Drosophila melanogaster: one gene and its partners. The protein of the gene in region 1 purifies or fractionates together with the protein of each later gene. This does not show direct contact. Each region holds a gene or a part of one and is shown on either strand. Other genes may lie near its edges. The genes, in order: Pp1alpha-96A, sds22, Ccdc85 and tim.

The links.
Region 2: the proteins of Pp1alpha-96A (region 1) and sds22 purify together in Drosophila melanogaster (affinity purification with western blotting; 2 studies listed by BioGRID, with this or other methods). This does not show direct contact.
Region 3: the proteins of Pp1alpha-96A (region 1) and Ccdc85 purify together in Drosophila melanogaster (affinity purification with western blotting; one study listed by BioGRID). This does not show direct contact.
Region 4: the proteins of Pp1alpha-96A (region 1) and tim purify together in Drosophila melanogaster (affinity purification with western blotting, with the first as the bait; one study listed by BioGRID). This does not show direct contact.

What each region holds. Positions count from the first base shown.
Region 1 is NT_033777.3:24,516,275-24,522,877, forward strand, and holds Pp1alpha-96A (protein phosphatase 1alpha at 96A), read left to right. Parts: upstream 1-1,995; 5' UTR 1,996-2,384; coding exon 2,385-2,433; intron 2,434-2,569; coding exon 2,570-2,918; intron 2,919-3,321; coding exon 3,322-3,607; exon of another isoform or gene 3,608-3,665; coding exon 3,666-3,813; intron 3,814-4,068; coding exon 4,069-4,220; 3' UTR 4,221-6,057; downstream 6,058-6,603. Other genes in the region: DZIP1, read left to right, coding at 1-257, 316-1,046, 1,102-1,258, 1,317-1,763; CG13622 (uncharacterized protein), read right to left, coding at 6,316-6,603.
Region 2 is NT_033777.3:17,389,802-17,393,560, forward strand, and holds sds22 (sds22), read left to right. Parts: upstream 1-1,792; 5' UTR 1,793-1,906; intron 1,907-1,955; exon of another isoform or gene 1,956-1,979; 5' UTR 1,980-2,127; coding exon 2,128-3,108; 3' UTR 3,109-3,219; downstream 3,220-3,759. Other genes in the region: Brf RNA polymerase III subunit, read right to left, coding at 695-799, 859-1,227, 1,289-1,361; CREG (cellular repressor of E1A-stimulated genes), read right to left, coding at 3,690-3,759.
Region 3 is NT_033779.5:2,997,493-3,002,339, reverse strand, and holds the start of Ccdc85 (Ccdc85), read right to left. Parts: upstream 3,055-4,847; 5' UTR 2,339-3,054; intron 1-2,338. Other genes in the region: CG3558 (uncharacterized protein), read right to left, coding at 4,092-4,549, 4,810-4,847.
Region 4 is NT_033779.5:3,504,191-3,508,851, reverse strand, and holds the start of tim (timeless), read left to right. Parts: upstream 1-1,633; 5' UTR 1,634-1,656; exon of another isoform or gene 1,657-1,663; intron 1,664-2,095; 5' UTR 2,096-2,294; intron 2,295-4,273; 5' UTR 4,274-4,325; coding exon 4,326-4,491; intron 4,492-4,552; coding exon 4,553-4,661. UniProt on the Drosophila melanogaster protein: Required for the production of circadian rhythms. The biological cycle depends on the rhythmic formation and nuclear localization of the TIM-PER complex. Light induces the degradation of TIM, which promotes elimination of PER.

The DNA of each region.
Region 1 (6,603 bases):
AGCGCCTGAATGCCGCCGAGCGGAATATTAAGGAGCGGAGCACGGGATCGAAGCGGGTAAGTCCGCGCCAGGAGCAGCGCCACGTGGGCATACAGAGCAATCTGGCGGAGCCAAAGGAGAAGGACGAGGACAGCGGAGAGGCCAGGCAAAGCGAGGCCAGCGAACGGAAGGAGCAACTCACAGGATTGGCGGAGCGACTGAGCAACTTTGAGGAGTGGCAAACGCAGCTCAAGCAGAGCAACGAACAGTTTATACAGGTAGAATCAAGTAATCCTTACTCCTGTGGAAGTACCATTACAATTTATATCCTTTCAGGACATTAACAAGAGGCTGGAGGGCCTGAGCCACGCACTCGAGCAGAGTAAACAGGCATCCGCCAGCACGCCTCCGCTGGAAGATCGGGTGGCCACGCCGTGTCTGGAGGATCTGGAGCGCATACTCACTGAGAAGGTGGCAGAGATTGGAAAGGTCAGCGCACACAGGCTGGAAGAGGTGGTCTATCACCTTGAGGAGGGCTACAAGGAGAAGCTAGGGGCACTGGAGCGAGAGCTCAAGCAGCTGAGTGTTCAAAAGGTGCAGCCAGAGCCTGTGCAGACTGTGCCAGTTGCCTCGAAAATACCCAAGCCGGTGGTTCGCAAGGAGGAAACCAACATTGATCGGATTCGCAAGCAGGTGGAGAGCGAGTTCCTCAAACAGAAACATGACGATGACACCTATTCCATTGAGGAGGCGCCACGAAAAGGTTCGGAGAAACCATTCCCACAGCTGGTGACCCAAGTTCAAGTGGTGGAAAAGGAGCAGCCAAGTGCTGGAAGTTCGGACAGCAATCCGACTTATACGAAATCTCCAAGGGAACCTGCTCCTAATAAGCAGGAAACGAAAGAAGCCACGGACGTAAGCGATAGTCTCAGCCAAGAAGAGACGGAGAACGAAGAGGAGCGCAGCCTGACAGAGGAGGAGGGGACCGATGTTCCCACCTCCGGGTCGGAAGCAGCACGAGAGGATCCAACGCCAAAAACAATCAAGCCTTCTGGAAGAATCATCAAGTGAGTGTTTCGATGTTAAGCTTTCTTAGAGTAATAATAATCCACATGTTTTAAGGAGCCCTCAAAAACCACTTACTCGCAAGGATGCCCGGAAGATGGTCAACCGGAAGTTGATGTCTCACGGCTTCGATATGAAGTCCAAAGGTATTTCGCATAACTCTTTGAAGAGAGTGAACTCCGAGCTGACAGAGCACCGCAACAAACTGAAACTGGTAAGCCTATAACTGCCAAAAACTAATGAACTTTTGACAATTCTGGAATACCCTTTAGCAACATCCACATTTTTACGCCACTCGAAATCGCATCCGCAAGTTTGTCGAAAAACTGTGCTCCGCCAAGTTCTCGGAACGCGCGGAAATGTTGCTGAAGCACAAGAGTCCACTCAAGCCAATGGAGGTTCCAGGCAAAGGGATCCCGAGGTCTGCGATCTCTGAAAAGTCTGAAGAGGATATAGCCAGCTCTCAAGGCGAAGAGCAGACGGATGAGCAAACGGATAGCAGCGAACAGCAAACTCGAAGCCCCAGTCCTCAAAGACTAGTTAGTCGCGATTTCAAGGCTCGTCTGGAGGAGATCCTGGTCAAGCCGGCGGCCACTATTCGAGGAGCTTCCAAGTCGTCCCTGAGTTCGAGGCCAGTTCCGCTGCCCAGGAAGCGGGTGATGTTCAACACCACGGAGGACGGGAAGAGCTTCAATGACAGCGATGATAACCTAAAATGAGTCAATAAAGATGATATTATAATACTTTGGGTATAAATGTCAACGATACGTTTAATAGCCAATATATCATAAGATAATTATATTCCTTTATGAGTACCTATCACCTGTTCAATGTACCGTACTTAACTAAAAAATATTGTTTTTTAAATGAATTTGCATATTCCGGTCACACTACCTTTTACCGATAGCTGCGCGCCGTGCAATGGATAGGCAATCGATAGGCAATCGACTCGCGCTGTAAACAATCGACGTCACTAACCAACGTAGATGAAAATTTTTTAGTACGTCGCGAGTAAAACGTGCATTAAATGCAATAAAAGGGCAGCTGGCTAAGGATCGGAACGATTGAAGTCAGCCAACCTCAGAGGGGTGAGCAACCGAGGCAGTGAATCCGCGAATCCGTGCATCCAGCTGACCAAAGGGCGAGATTAGCCCAGCACCGAGTTTCCATCCGCACACGGACACGGCGCACACACACACAGGCACACGCAGCCCGTGCCCATCGATGAAATAACATACATAACGAACGTATACCGAAAATACACGGGTTACGGGAAATAGCAGTTGCTGCAATCGGCGGATAAGCGAACTTCAGGAAGCTGAGCAAGCGGGCCCACAAAGATGTCGGATATCATGAACATCGACAGTATCATCTCGCGCCTGCTGGAGGGTAGGTGTTAGGGCTCCAACTTTTGATTACCTTGCCCCCACCCATCATCACCCATTCCCCACATGCCTTGCCACCCAACCACCGCCCACTCTCATCACCTTAACGTAAATTTTCCCTGCTTGGTTTTCCATTGCAGTGCGCGGTGCACGACCGGGAAAGAATGTTCAGCTATCAGAGAGCGAGATCCGCAGCCTGTGCCTCAAGTCCCGCGAGATATTCCTGTCGCAGCCCATACTCCTGGAGCTGGAGGCACCGCTGAAGATCTGCGGCGACATACACGGACAATATTATGACCTCTTGCGCCTGTTCGAATACGGCGGCTTTCCGCCCGAGTCAAACTACCTGTTCCTGGGCGACTATGTCGATCGCGGCAAGCAATCCCTGGAGACGATATGCCTGCTGCTGGCCTACAAGATCAAGTACGCGGAGAACTTCTTCTTGCTGCGCGGCAACCATGAGTGCGCCAGCATCAATCGCATCTACGGGTAAGTGGGGAGGCGGCTCCAAAAACAGGATGAAGCTTGATGAAATGGTTAGCAATCTGTTCAGTTCAGCACCGAAACAATTTGCTTTCCTGCTTAGATTACTGAAACTCATTTGATTACAATTTATATTATTCTTACGACTCGTATTTACTTCTGATGACTATGTACTTTTATACATGCTATAGAACTTATAGTTGTTTATTGTTTACGTGAGCTTTAAAAATTTCCCAGACATATTGATGTCTACTTATGCTTCCAAGCTTATTAATACTTTCTAGTTTATTGACGCACACAACGATATCCATTACAATTAAATTAGCCATACTTCAAATACATAAAGTAAATGCCACATTCTATAGCAATAATCCATAAAATTACTCAACTAATTGCACTTAATTGGCAGGTTCTATGACGAATGTAAACGTCGCTACACCATCAAGCTGTGGAAAACTTTCACGGACTGCTTCAACTGCCTGCCGGTGGCCGCCATCGTGGATGAGAAGATCTTCTGCTGCCACGGTGGCCTGAGTCCAGATCTGTCGTCCATGGAGCAGATACGACGCATCATGCGTCCCACAGACGTGCCCGATCAGGGACTGCTGTGCGATCTGCTGTGGTCGGATCCGGATAAGGATACCATGGGCTGGGGCGAGAATGATCGCGGCGTGAGCTTCACATTTGGAGCAGAGGTGGGTTCTTCGCATTACACTGTTCGCCACAATGTTGTTTATGCATTCGCTCTTGCAGGTTGTGGGTAAATTTTTACAGAAGCACGAATTTGACCTGATCTGTCGGGCTCATCAGGTAGTGGAGGACGGTTATGAGTTCTTCGCCAAACGTCAGCTGGTGACGCTCTTCTCGGCGCCCAACTACTGCGGGGAATTCGACAACGCGGGTAAGTGATCATTGTTCGGGGACTTTAGTCGGAGATAAACCTTGTTTATTTGGAGAACAACCACGTTGCACCCTTGTACTCGGTGATTTTGCCTGCCGATAAGCTGTCGGCAAGTGAAAGCTGGCAACCAGATTTAAATTCAACTCGGAAAATGCGCATTTAAAAATAATCAATAATCAATACCGAGAATGAAACTACCTATGCACGACACCCGCTTCTAATGAATTGATTAATCATTATTGATTACGTTTACAGGTGCCATGATGTCCGTGGACGACACATTGATGTGCTCCTTCCAGATATTGAAACCCGCCGACAAGCGACGATTTGTTTATCCCAACTTTGGCAGCTCAGGACGTCCTTTGACACCGCCACGCGGAGCTAACAATAAAAACAAGAAAAAATAAACACTGCACACCTCGAACGAAGCACAACAACAACAGCAACTACAAACGGCCACACACACAAAACACAAATAGGGAAAACAGAAAGGAGAATCCGTGTGTCCACATTCAACGGAAAGCGCAGAGAGTTTGTTTTTATCATAAACGTGTAATCGAATCGTGAGCAACGTTATATGGGGAATATGAATCTACACAAATTAGCCTATCTTTCATTTGAAAAGGAAAAAAAAACAAAAACAAATAAGGAAAACGAAACGAATGAAATGAAATTAAGAAACCAGAAAACACAAATCGAGACACTTTAGTTCAAACTAATGGTAGTGTAAGACACTGCATAAGCAAGAATATTTTATCTCCTAATGTATTAATTTTGTTATAATATTTCCTTGCGCAAAACCCACACACTCACACACACACACACACATACACATGCTCAGATCATCCGTACAGTAGGTACCATAAGTGCACGCACCGGTTGTATTTTAATTTGCATTTCCAACTCGCACAGCATTTTAATTATGTATGCCGATCCTGGCGGCACCTTTGGCAAAGGTCTTTAACCACACTTCCCTTCTTCCTTGTTTTTTTTTTTTGCGTATCTAAGGGAATATTAGCAAATGGTAACAATGTTAAATTTTATGTTAATTAAACTGTACGAGAATGCTTTTAAATGTGAGTTGAGGTTACTACATATTACATATGTATGTACTCGAAGCACGATTTATTTTTGTAATATTTGACATCGATACATGTTTACTTAGTTTTAAAACGAGGAAAGCAATTTTAGTTGCAAGCTACAAAAGCTTGAATTGTTTACACCAAAAATATTAAAATAAACAAATATTGTGAATATTTTTTAACTGTTTGCATTACACAAACACACACATACAGGCAAGCACGCACACACGATTTTAAGGAGAACCCTGAAAAGTATGTTTATATAGACAAAAATAAACCCGAATTGAAAATCTACCTTAAGGCGAACGCTTTTGAGCGGCACTGTGTGCTCTCTGCTGATGTCAGCGACGAGGCAGATAATGTTACCCCCTTTTAATCCCCCGCCCAGACGAAAGGAAAGCAGCGGCCCCAGACCCATTAAGTGCATGTGAAACTCACACGAAATATAGAAAAAAAAATCGAAACAAAAATAAGCAAGTAATAAAATATTTGTAAACAGCAGCGCAACAAACACAGACACAAACACTGTTTATCGTACAAGTGTACACTTTTGTGTATTTTGCATTCTACGACTAACGTCGCAACATTCTAGTGCTAAAGGCCGCCACATTCAATTACAAGTATTATGCCCAGGCAGGCAGGCAGCGATCCGGAGCGATGCAGCCGGACGCAAGTTACCCAAAATGGTTTCGTTTGTATAATCCAATCCAATCCAATCCCCGCCCGACAACCAAGCAACCTACTAACAACAATCGTGTAACCTACGGACAAAAAAAAAAAAACAAAACCAAAAGCAAAGCATGAGTCCTCTTCTATTTCACACTCTAGTACTCTGTTCAATGTTGTAATGAATTCAACGTATATTTACGACTATATATGTACTTGTAATAATGCGATCCAGTACGACATCGGCTGTTTTCAACCCCCAAAAAACACAAGTCATAAGAAATCTATAACGTAATATCGTAAAATTAAAGTGTAATTGACCCCAAGAAGGAAATTAGAAAAGACAGATGGGGTAAATTTATAATGCATTCAAAGCGTAAATTGCAAAAAAAATAAAATACAATAAAAAAATAACAAACAAAAAAATCATTTAAAAAAGAGCTAAAAAATGAAACAAAAAAATACAAATTAAACAAAATGAACACAATGACGAAGCACTTGTAACAAAATAGCACTGTTTTATTAAAAAAAAAATTGAAATACATACTAGCAATAAATATGAAATTCGAGATGTGTTTTTACTTGAGTGAAATGCATGTTAGTTTCTTGTTTAAAAAAGCAAATCTATTATTTATTGTCTATATAGTTGGTGTTACAATCTAAAGCATTTCGAGGACTTTAAAATCTTATTTATAACTTTACTTTATGTTGCTTAATATATTGCACTAAATTTACTTTGTATAGCACTTTGTGTTTAGTTATATCGCAGTGAGCAACTCTTTCCCAAAGGAGCACATGTGCCACCCGTGCCCCTGCCATGTCGCTCATCCTCCTGGAGCCTCAGCTGGAGCAACTTCTGCCTTAAGGCATAAGGTGTGGTGGTGGTGCTGCTGCTGCTGCTCCTCGTCACTTCCTGTTGCCTGCTCTCATTGGCGCGATCTTTGTTCCACTTGTCCGAGTTGTTGAAAATGATTTTATCATATGCCCGCTGCAGGCGCAGCTTATCCTGGCGGACATCACTGAAGCATTCGCTTGTGTTCAT
Region 2 (3,759 bases), 7.1 Mb from region 1:
ACTTCGAGGGAGAATAGGCCATGTTAATAGTTGCATACGACGAATTTGAAACCCAAGTTAACCAGTTAACGAAATAGCAAACAAAAATGAAATCAAGGGATCTTGTACGAGATGCGCACAAAATCCCCCCTACATATATATTCAAATATTAATCTTGTAGTACGCATTATATCTATTTCGTAGTTGTTCCATTATATCTCTCATACATACACAATATGCCTTTCTACTGATACTAAGCCCCGTACTTCTCCTGTGCATTATTATAGCCTGCTGAGCGCAACAATCAGTTTTACGTTTGTATTTCGGATTTCTTTGGAAATTGTACTGATTTTTTGCTTTTGATAAGACAATTATGGTTTTTATATACATATATCTATATAAAATGTTATCCTGTATTGATTATGAATCTATTACCATTATGTACTTTAATCAAACAAAATACATTATTAGATTTTTGCGAATTTACTTTCTCAGAGTTGAAGATTTTGGATATTTTGACATCACGTAAGTAGTGCATAAAGAAAACAGGAACGAGTAGAGTATTGTTAAATACCTGATAAAAGGAAAGCAAGCAAATCTAACAAACCCAACAAAATATTTTTAAAAAAACAAAAATTAAGAGTGGAGCTATGGCTTGACTTGACTGTGGATTGGGATTTAGGTGTATAGTTTAGTATTCACAACGTTCACTCACCCAGAGAAGGTATGTTGATACAAAGGGCATGCGATAACTTTAAGTAGGTACGACCAAGCTCATAGGAACAGATTTGCTGTACGTCGCTGATGTCGATGAGGAGATCTGTGAAGATATGAGCAGTCAATAAGCTACTCTTTAGGCAAAATGAATGCACTACTCACGGGAGGTGCCCTCTGTCCTGCAGGTCATGTACACGCAAGCGGCGTAGATGTGGGTGCTCTTCCTACCGCGGGTCAGATGCCTACCCAATGCCATCTTGAAGAAATTCAGAGCAGTATCTGCATAGTGCTGGGATAGCTGCAGCTGCTGGCAGAGTAGTGTGATGTCCTTCTTGGCCTTTTTGATGGTCACCTCGCGGGATTCGGTGCCCGATCCCACCTGAAACTTGCCGTAGCCATAGTTGGTGGCACCGCCCGACGACTCGGCGGACACAAACTGGCCAATTGCGGCTGCTCCATGGCCAACTTCCTCGAACTGCACTTCGGAAACAATGAGGGAATCCTCCAATACCGAGCCGCAGTTCATGCAAACTACAGTGAATGGGTGAACGTCGTTAGTGTCATGGATATGGGTCCTTGGATGTCATTATACCTCGATCTCCGCGAGCATTGTCTTCCTCGATCTCGTTGGATCCGCAATTGCGACATTTTAGGCCCGTAGACATGATTGTTTGTTCTTTGCTTTAATAAACACTGCCACCTGCAACGCTTCGTTTTTATCCGTTGTTTTGACAGTTTAAACTACTTGTTTGCTGTCATTTGAAAGCCATTTTCGAGTCTTTTTTAAACAATTTGCAATTTGTTGCCAATTGAATCAACACGCTTGGAAAACATCTGATTGAACCCCGCCGGCGTTGCTTAACACTGATGATAGAAGAAGAAATGCTAGAGATGCGCATTTCTCAATCAAGAACGACATTGGCACAACTGCTTGAAAAACTTAAAAGAGATATTAAAATTGTAAAAATTACGTAAAGCTGGTTCCAAAAATTATGTTCTAGTTTATTTGGCAAATTATCAATCAATATTTGTTTTTCATTTACATTGGAATATATAATAATACAGGTTTAGCATCGTGTTCTTAGGTGCACATCTCTAGTAGAAATAGTGTTAAAGTGCCGGTAAGGTGACTAAGTATTTTGTTGACATATTGAACAAGTTGGACCAAAAGGAGTATACAGTCATCTTGGACTTAACTTATAAATATTAAGTAAATATTTTAATACATATTTATTTTAAATTTACATATTTATATTTACCGTGTGTTCTTGCTTTTGTAACAGTGTCAAGCTTTGACGTCATATTTAAAGAAAGTCACCCCACTTTGTTCCACCCTGAGCAGCGGAATAAACAACAAGTCAAGTCAGCGTTCAATTTTCGAAAGTCAACTTGAATTAAAAAAAAAGAAAAGCCGGTCAAAATATATCAGTCATGGGCGATGCTGATCGTGCGATGAACGAACCAGAAGCCGCGAAAACTGTGTCCGGAATCCAGGTGATTCCCGCCGAGGATGTGGCTTCCATTGAGGATATAATCACAATCGATCCGGACTGCTACGAGCTTGATCTGAATCATCGCCGGATCGAGAAGCTGGAGAACTTCGAGCCGCTGACTCGAATCGAGCGCCTGTTTCTGCGCTGGAATCTGATCAAGAAAATCGAGAACTTGTCCAGCCTGAAAACACTGATTGAGCTGGAGCTGTATGACAACCAGATCACCAAGATTGAGAATTTGGACGACTTGCCCCACCTGGAGGTGCTGGACATTAGCTTCAATCGTCTGACGAAGATAGAGAACCTTGACAAGCTGGTCAAGCTGGAGAAGGTCTACTTTGTGTCGAACCGGATAACCCAAATCGAGAACCTGGACATGCTCACCAATCTGACCATGCTAGAGCTGGGGGATAACAAACTGAAGAAGATCGAAAACATCGAAATGCTCGTGAATCTACGACAGCTCTTCCTGGGCAAAAATAAGATAGCAAAGATCGAGAACTTGGACACATTGGTCAATTTGGAGATACTCAGTCTACAGGCCAATCGCATTGTAAAAATCGAGAACCTTGAAAAGCTTGCCAACCTCCGCGAACTCTACGTTTCGGAAAACGGAGTGGAAACCATTGAAAACCTCTCGGAGAACACCAAATTGGAGACCCTCGACTTGGCCAAGAACCGGTTGAAGGGCATTGCCAATCTGGAAAAGCTGGAACTGCTCGAGGAGCTGTGGCTGAACCACAACGGAGTCGATGACTGGAAGGACATTGAGCTGTTGAAGGTGAACAAGGCGCTGCAGACCATCTACCTGGAGTACAATCCGCTGGCCAAGGATGTTCGCTACCGCTCCAAACTGCGCGACATACTGCCGCAGCTGCAGAAGATTGATGCCACCCTGTGCAAGGTGCCCGGTACCTAGATGGAACCACTGTAAACCCCTTGAAAGACTAATCCACGGCGTTGCGCCACTACATTTATATCGATTAACTTTGAAAAACTGCGTTTAAAATATACATACAAATTAACCACTAATGGTTCTATCTACGAATTGGTGGGTGCAGTGATTTAGTTTGCTTTCAGAAGAAGGTATATTTGGATAAGTTACTCAAAGCGTGAAGTTTACCTAATGAGTCAGATAAATTATCCATCTAGGCTACCGCCTAACATATAAAACTAAAAAGTATTTTATATATACACATAAATAATGTAAATTGAATCTAAAAAGATGAAAACATTTTAGTTAAACAATTCTGGTTTCTCTTAAACCAAAACAATACATTTCAGTATGTCAGAGTACATTCAACGGAATGTATTTTTATTTATATCAAAGTTATTGTTCTATCGATTGAAATCACAGAGCTCAACTGATAAGTGGCTTTCATAAAGGCCTTTGTCTTCATTCTTTCCCTTTGTGGCAGACATGTTGTGCAAATATGCTTATCATTTCATTTTTTGACAAAGTATATGAGGCGTCAGTTGGATTGCTTTTGGAGGAGTTCATCAATTCGAAACAGCGTAATAGTCAGAGGCGCTCACTTTATGAGGACCTCCATAGAAGTCCAGAACAAAG
Region 3 (4,847 bases), on another chromosome or scaffold:
TAGGTTGGCCAAAAGGGGGTTTCCTCCAGGCGACCGCAGAAACGGCAGCAAGAGTCAACATGACCGAGCCTAAAAGAAAAGTCACAGTTGCGCTCAAACGAATAGCACCAAAAATGTCACTCAAAGATAATATAAGTCTTATATAGCATATTATATTCTGATCTCTTATTAAATAATCTTGGCGTTTATATAATTTTTGGGATATATGTATGATATACGATTTTGTGAGACGTGTTTATCCACAGATCGCAAAGCGAAGCATTTAAACTAACCTACTTCTAGCATTTCCACCGCCACTATAAGCATGCAAGTATGTGACCATGTGGAGGAGATTCCAGCTATGGCTGCCGGGACAGGAAACTTAAACTAGTTCTAGTTCGAGTAGCTGGCTTCTAGCCGTTCCACAAACTGGGACACTTGTTGCGCCAACTTGGACACTCGATGGCTGGATGACTTGGCTTGGTCTGCCCTGGCTTGGCTCGCAAGCAATCAAACCTGCAGCCCCAAGATGACAAACAGACGAGGCTTCCCACGCATCAGTCACTCCCATGCCGCCCCTGCCACTCCCACGCATCCGATGGCCGAGTCCCGAAGGCCCGGAAAAGAGAAGCCAGGCTAAATTGTCTTAATGGACCATGAAGAGGAGCCCGCGGAGACGTAGAGATCCAAAAGATCATTATACTCCAAAGAGATTCTGCAGATGGCGGCAGGCGCGCGTAAATCTCGAAACCGCCCAATTAAACAGAAAGATATACGTATATGGATGGGTGCTTATAGGAATATAAAGAGCAGGGCGACACACAAAACAAAATCACCGGCGAGGAGGACAGACAACGAAAGAGTGAACGGAGGACCGGCGGCGATGTTGGCGTGGATAAGCCCAAAAGAAAGTTTTCTTTCATTGACAAAAATTTCTTACTCGACTGCGCTGTCTTTTATTTGCCGCCGCGTACAACGAACTTGGCCTCAGTTGCCCACGGGCGCGGATCTTAACCCATTAAGATGCCGGGCCAAGTCAGGAGGAGATTCTTGTGGATACTTTAGAAAAGCCTCATGACCGCAAAAAGATTCCAACTCGGATGAAGGCTTAAAGAAATGAGTAATATTAAACATTCAACTTAGACCCCTAAGGAAACATACTTTTTGTCCGAGAAGTAATAGTGTTAATAATTGTATTAATATTAATTACTATTTACATTTTGCCAATTCAAACGATGCCTGACTGTTGCATTGTTTGTGGTATGTGGCCAAGCAGTTTTCCCAACTACACCATCCCGCCTTTCCATTTAACCCATGGACAATGCATTTGCATTTCTTGGCCGATTTCTCCCTTTCGCGTTAATGGGTTAATGCTGCTGCTGCTGTTGCCTGGCATTAGTTACAGTTTTCCGATACACGAAATTGACTTTACATATTTCAGGCAGCGGGCGATGTAACAGGTTGTTCGGCGCCATCTCTTTCGCTCTTGCGGGCATTTCGTTTCGAAACGGTGGCGTCGCTGCTTTTACCTGTTGCATGCGGCGTGGTTGTTGCTGTTGCTATTGCAACTGCTGCAGCAACAACAAAAGCAACGGCGATGCTGCAGCGTGGTCGGTTTTCGCTGCTGGTTTTGTTTGATCTTGTGTCTTATTGTTGCGCGTTGTCGTGTATCTTTCTGCCTGTTATTTGTTGCTTTCCTCGGATGCGATACTATCGCCATCGCTCCTGCTGCCTCTCCTTCTCACTCACACCAGCAAGCAACTGTTGAATTTATTGGCGCATATAAATGCCTCAAAATTGATGTTATTGTCGTCCGATATTCCCTTTCTTGCCCCCTTGCCGCCTCGCTGGCTCGTTCCTTTGTTTTTGTCCTGCTTGTTTTGAAAATTGATTTTTACTCGGACTTTTATGGCCGTAGTGGCCGAGCGATAAGTGGAGGAAAAACCCGCCTTCGTTTGCGCACCGTGGAGGGAAAAGACAAAAGACCAGAGACAAAAGAAGAACAAATGGGCAAGGTGGGCGTAGCGCTGACAAAGTGGGCGTTCCCGAGGAGAATAGAGCAATTTTCTGGATCGAAGGGAAAAGAGGGGGCAATGAGTTAATTTTCCGTGGGCCGAGGCCCATGGATTTTTAGTCGACTGACGTGGGCTTGGTACACGTAAAAAAGTATTGATTCAATGTTTTTTCAATAGCTGAAGAGCCTGAATTGAACTTTTTGTGAGTGAGTTATCATGTATGTTATTCAAATAGTTCCTTGCACTGTACATTAATTGTGTGGAGAAACGTGGGCAGGGAAAATGGCAACTTAGGCCAAGGCAACTGCAGTTGCTGCAATTGCCAATCTAACAGCAAAACTCACCTTTTATTTTTTTTTATTCCAATCCGATCGCGCGCTCTCTCTATGTTTCTCTATCTATCTCTGTTTCTCGCTCCTTCTCTCCTTTCAAAACAAATCACAAATATTTGCGCATGCGCGACTGCGCATTCCAGGGATACAGATACACACAGACACACACAATACACTGGCACACAGGGGCACTCGATTCCGCCGTTTGTTTTGCGGCTAATTGTTTATACAGCGTAGATTATTCTTCGCACTGGATGTATTTGTTCATCCGGCTATTTTCGTTTGTTTTTGCTCCGCACGAGCAAATTTGCAGCGCACACGCAGCCGAGAATTCGCGCAATCGCTTTTTCCTGTATGTATCTTTTATTGGCCACAGTTCGCGAGTTTTCATGCCCTTTTCGAGAGCCAAAAAGACGCGTCGCCTGCTGCGTTTCGCGAACTATTTTCGGTTGGCTAGAATCCCGTAAAGGCGGTTTCAGCCGGTGTTCCCCTTGCACTTAACAAACACTCAAGCGGCACTCGCAACTAAAGAACAAAAAGTTTGCGAAAATGCGGGCGGTGTGATTAGTCGCCAACACGAATGTATCGAGTGCAGGGCGGGGAAAAGTATAACATAATTTATGCGATATTTAACAATAAAATAAACACAACGCAATAATTCAGCCGGCGATGCGCACTTTTACGTTTTTTGAACGGCAAACGATCGCAACGATCGCAGTTTTGTGACTGAAAGCGACCGATTTCTAGAGATGCGTTCAACCATCCACAGTGCTGTCGACTATCGATTGTTTGTGTTCGACTAAGATATCGGAGTGGAATGTGTTTGGTTTAAAGTGTGGGCATAAATCGATCAATCGATCAACTTCTATTTTAGTACATATTCAAATTCAAACTCTTCCGTTAACGATCTAAACGGAAATTTATCTTGCCTGCTTCTTTTAATAAGTATAATCTTGAATATATTGGCTTGAAGTTTTCATAAGAAACACTTTTATTTAAAAACATTTTGGCTAAATTTCAGCGCCTAAATTATCATCGTATTTCGCCGCCACACCCCAAAGGCAGTTCTCCCAATGGCCCTCAAACCTAAACTGTGTTTCCGATGCAGGCAGCTCCTCCAGCTTCAGCTGACTTGCGCAGAATGAACTGTGCGTTTACGTGTCGCACCAGAAGAAGGTATACCCAGTGAGTCCCTTTGACTCCTCTGGTGGTTGCCATGTTATAAAATTGGCTCTCACGTTAAACCTGAAATCCTAAGCTAATAATAAGAATAACTAAATCTTCTTGGCTGTGCATTTACTTGGACCAATTTAATACTTTCAAGTTGGCTTTACATAACTTGTGTAATTTGATCTTGCATACATAAAAGCATAAAATATATTGCAAAAATACATATGTATACATGGTATGTGTGTTATATAATTCTCTCTATAAACGTTGTAAATTTTGCGTACGGCTGGTAATTAGAATATTTGTTTACATCTGAACACTTAAGATCCACCGTCCCGATTCACTTAAAACATTTAACCTAAATCTATTTGTTTAACGCGTTGAGTGTTTCTCTTTTTTTTTTTTAGTTGAGTCCGTGTGCATTAACTTGTAAATCTGTTCAAAACTGCATTGTTCGTTAAAAGTTGTTTTTTAAAATATAAATATCGAAAATTTAACAGGTAAAAAGAATAATTTCGTAAGAGTAGCTGGTTAAAACAAACAAGGGCTAACAAATCCGTAAAATATGTATACACAAGCTTTCCGTTCCAAGCGATCATAAAGACCCCTGCTCCGTGACCAGCACAACGCTCTGCTCCTGCGCAATGGCAGCCAGCTCCTTAAGCCACTCGTCCATGAGCACAGCACATAGGGCCAGATCGCGTGATCGCTCGGTGCCACTTGTGCTGGCGATGATTCCCATGGAGGCCACCGAGTCCAGGGACGCCGGCTCCGAGTTGAAACCACCCGTCGACGGGCCGCCATCCAGACCGTGCAGAGTGCTCGCCGAGTGGGTGGTTGTGTTCGACTGGGCGGAGAGCGTTAGGGTGGAACCTGCGATGCTGCTGTTGCTTCCCGATGCCGCTGTTGACGTCGCGTTGGCTCCTGTGCGTGATGCTCCCGCTGGGGGCTGCGTACTCAAGCTGGTCTCGCATGTGCCTGCGGACGTCTGAGCTTGTGATATGCCTCTTCCATCGTTGCTGGCATTATTCCCCACCAGATTCGAGGCAGCTCCTAAAAACGTATGCGAGGATTAGCAACAGCACATGATATTGACATTTTGGGTTAATTAAAAAACAACAATAACCACATGTATATATGGGATTCCACAAATGTTTTCTATATTCTACTATTAACTATTTTTTTAGTGGAAAGCATAATGTACAAAGCTCTACGAAAATAAAGATACTACGCACAAATATTAACAAGACTATGCCATATTGGGTTAGGTTTGATTAAAACTTTAAATATTTTATCAAGCGTGAAATATTTACCGGTGAAGAATGCGTAAATTTGTGATAAGCCAGATGAA
Region 4 (4,661 bases), on another chromosome or scaffold:
AGTGGGCATCGCATCTAATTGTTTTGCTTTTGATTGGGAGGCTTATCAGCCAACTTTCATCGTGACTGTCCACCGTTCATGTGTTACATGCGGCGTATACGCAATTACTTGCATTACGTATACGTAGGGACAAGTTTTTGTGCATTGGCGTGGCTTACTTTGCCGCTGAACGGACTCCGCCATTGTTGTGTTTGCTTAGTGATAAATTAGCTTACAGAAATTAACATCAGGCGTTGCATAATTCAGATGTATGTACTTGCATAGCCTTGGCATTGGCGAAGTGATCGCACAACTTACGTTGAGTGGAAACTTTGGGCGGATCGGCTGAAGTGGTCTAATCAATGCTATGTTCTTACATTGGCACTTTCGTTTTTCTCCATTCACTTTGCAGCAATGGATATATAACTTAAATATTATTTGCAAAAAATAAAAAAATTAATTCATAGTTGAAATGTATTCAATCAAAATCTGCTCCTTTATATTAAAAATATAGTTAGATTGTCACCTTTTACAAAAGTCTAACCATCTAATTAACAGCATTATTAATTTGTTTCTTTTTTTTGTGACAACTAATCTTCTTATTGAAATAATAGAATTTGATAGTCTGGGTTGAATAACATTTTGACGTCAAATCGCCTATTGTGAGTGAGTGACTTCGTAAAATGAGAGTGTCAGTTATTTATTTCTATCGCCCCAGTCCGAGCAAAAGTATTTTCCTAAACCTCCGTTTCCAGTCGATTTACCACCGCGATTCGGTGCCGACGTGCTGCAGCTCGCGCCACCGTGGAAACACTCAAAGTAAATATATACGCTCCCCACAGTATACGCATTCAATGAGCCCGGTGCGTATACGCCGCGTGTGCCCGCGCCTGCAACCAACTGTTGATTCCGTTCCCAAAAGGATTATTCAACGGATCATCTGAGGCACTCAGAGCCGAACAATGTCACCCTGACGAAGCCTACGGCAGAGTCGTTCGAAGGCGGCGTCAAAAACGTTTAACTTTACACTGAAAAAAATATTGGTTTTAATGTGAAACGTCTGTGAGGAATACAGTACAGCAGCAGACAAAATAATATAATATTTATGTATGTAACAAAATATGTCATTGAATATATTATATACATATAAACGTGAGTGTTGTATAATCAAAAAAAAACGTAGTTTTGAAATCATTTATATTAATTATTTTGCACACTAAATATATACATTTATTAAATAAAGTAAAGTAAAGTATTAAAGTAAAGTGAAGTCTCGTTATTGAAGATACCATTTGGTAAAGTGACACACTTTTTTTTTTTGAGTGCACAGAAACGTTCTGACTATTGCTGTTGTTCCCAGACTGTTCTCCGTATTTTCCGGCGCTGGTTATTCATGTTATCGAACATCGTAGTGGCGGTTGGCAAATAAACGTGCGGCACGTTGTGATTACACGTGAGCCGATTTCCCCGGCCGTCCGGCATTGAGTGCGAGCGGGACGGAGCAGCGCGGCGAGAGCTTTCGGCTAGCGTCTTTCGTTCGCACAAACGCCGGCAGCGGCACGTTGGCCCTGTGTGAGTGGGTGTTTCGGTCAGTGTGTGTATCTGTGAGATGCATTTTGTATCTGACTTCGGTGAGCTAGCCGTAACTCAGATCGCATTCAGCATTGTGCGTTCCAAGTAAGCGGTTCGTTGAGCGGTTCGAAGTTTATCAACAAAATAGAAGTTTCGAAAATAAATATCTCTTAAATAAAGAAAATTTAATAAAGATATTTTGCTAAAATAATCTTGAATACTTTTGTGAATTCATGCAATAATATTTATTAATTCACATATCAATAATCTTAAAGAGAGTGCTTACATGACTCACTGGTCTTTCTCTCAGTGTTTAGCCTAGATTGCAATCGAAAAAAGTGCAAATTAATTGCTATTGAAGTTGCATTTTACATAAGCCAACAACGAGTATAAAGAATTTTTTGTGCAGTGTTAACAAAGCAAAGTTCACAAAGTGTTAAATAAAATTGCAAATCCTTAACAAATTTTTCATGAGTGGTTAAAATCTTAATATTACCAAAAAAACTGAATTTACCCTAACAAATATTCTTAAAACTACTTTCAGATATAAAACAAAAATAATTTCATCAGTGTATATAACAGCACTGAAACTATAACACGATCTATTCTGCAAAGAAACCCAAAAAGTGCTCAGAAAAGCTCAATTGCTTAGAAACATAAACAATCAGCTTTAATTGTTGATTGCAATTCGGCTAAAACTAAAACAGTAAAATTGTCTGCGATAGAAAAAATTTAAATAATTGGTAAGAAATATAAACCACTAGTATATTTAACATTACATAGCTTAGACCTGACCTAACACAGTTCGTTATCAGTTGACCCCTGACAAAATTACACTTTAACAAAGCTTTCTAAAAAGTAGCTTTAAGCGGCGACATATTCAAGCAATTAAAGCTTGCACAGAAAGAAAACCCATTTCCACATGAAAACGAAATCACATAATACTGGGAAAATGAAAACAAGTTAAAGGGGCAATTTACGAAGCACAACAATTCTCCGTTACAATTCTTATGTAAAAAGCACGCAGTGAACTGTCAAAAAAGGAGGCTTGGCCTTCCACGGAATTCCTGTCAGAAACAGGATAGCGAAATAAGTACGGGAATCGTCCTGAAACTGACAGATTTCATCCTGGCACACAGATGTTCAGTGGTTTCTGCTCGTTTAGCTAGGATTTTAACGACCCTCAGATGTATTTGCATTGCAAATTCAAATCTTAAATATTTATTCGTGATCTATCTTTGCTTTCCGTTTCAAATGCAAATTCAACCTCGCTTCAATGAATTTCCCCTTTGCGAAAGAATGAAAATTGTTTTCACTCTCCAAGAAAAGTAGATACTCAGCTCGAAATTTCAATGCGCATATCATTTTGTAGTTCTCGCCTTGCGTTTTATGTAAGTTGGGTCTTTGATTTCATAACCAGTCAGCGGAAATGGTATTGGGGTTGCTAGAAACGTTTCACAGATACAAAGATGCTCAGATGATCTATGATTTCGGATGGTGCAAAAATTATGCTCGACCAACAAAATTCGATATTAGTTTCAGTAGAAATATCTAAGTAAAATTTAAAAGAAAAGTATTTTTATTTTTTTTCTCTTAGATATCACTGTTTTCTTATTAATTATATTTTTTAATATTTTCTATAAAATGTCCATAATTTATTGTCCCTCAATTTACACACAATTAAATCTCCCTTCTTAGATATAATTTCCTATTGAGCATTATTACATTTTAAAACAATTTTATAGTAAATCAGCTAGGCCATAAATGGCTTTGTAATTTTAAAATTTTCTCAACTGTTTGCGCTGTTTATTTTCCGCTCTTGGCCATTTAGCGTGCCATTTAACGTGTTCGCCCAAAAGAGGGCAACGAAAACCAATGCAACTAAACTGCATTCGCTTTAATGGCCAAATATAGCACGAAACATTCAAAGTCAGCAGGCTGGAAGCCGCACAAATGCCAAATCCTGCATCCCGATTCATGTCCTATAAATATCGCTACGGGTGGTCGGCTTTTCCGACTGCAGGCTTTGTTCCTCCGGAGTCCCGTAGTCCGTAGTCCGTTTGCGAACCCAGTGGCTTTGTCCTCCAACTGTGTTGTTTACACAATCAGCCCGGATGTCTGCAAGTGAGTCACATGCGGCCACCGGGTGCCGCAGTCGCCTGTTGAGGATTTGCCTCGTTACGTGATGGCTGAAGGTTGGGCTCCCCCCTGTGTGGGGGGGGGGGGTGGTGGTGTTTGCCAATCCAGCCCACTTTTTCACTTTCCGGACTGGCAAGTGTGGCTTCTGGGAACTTTCGGGGCTCGTCTGGTAGGCAGTTTCCTTGATTCGACTCGCAACGGGTGGTAAATGGGAGACGTGCTGTGCGGACACGTGTGTGAGGTGATGTGGAATGGGAGTTGATTCGGGTTTCATCCCCGAGCGGCTGCAATTGCAGCACATTGCATGGACTGCGCCCTTGATGGTCACATGGGTGGCGATTTTGTTTGCGAGTGCAAATATTTATGGGAATCATTTGTGGTTGCGTAATGCCCTGGAAGACGATGGGTTAGTGACCTTAACATATTTTAAGGTGACTGTTACAGCTTACAAAAATGCCATAAATTTTTCACCATTTCACATCTCAGTTTAAATGTGTAATATTATTTAAATTCACCTCTGGTACCACGTTAAGAATATTTAAGTTTTAATAACAATTAAATATACATTTTTGTTTACTTATAGTTACAGATACCGCGCAAATGGCTAAGAAGTACCTCAATGTTCGCAGTCGACAATGAGCAGAGTTAGGCAGCTCCACAATCACATCTGGAATAATCAGAACTTTGATAAAGTGAAATCGGTTATGGACTGGTTACTAGCAACTCCGCAGTTGTACAGCGCGTTCTCCTCCTTGGGTTGCTTGGAGGGCGATACCTATGTGGTCAACCCGAATGCATTGGGTGAGTAATCAATATAGGACTACTACATTAATTAGGTATTTAACTTATTTTCAATCCCCAGCCATTCTGGAGGAGATCAACTACAAGCTCACCTATGAGGACCAAACACTGCGCACCTTTCGACGGGCCATTGGATTTGGCCAGAATGTGAGGTCAGACCTGATACCGCT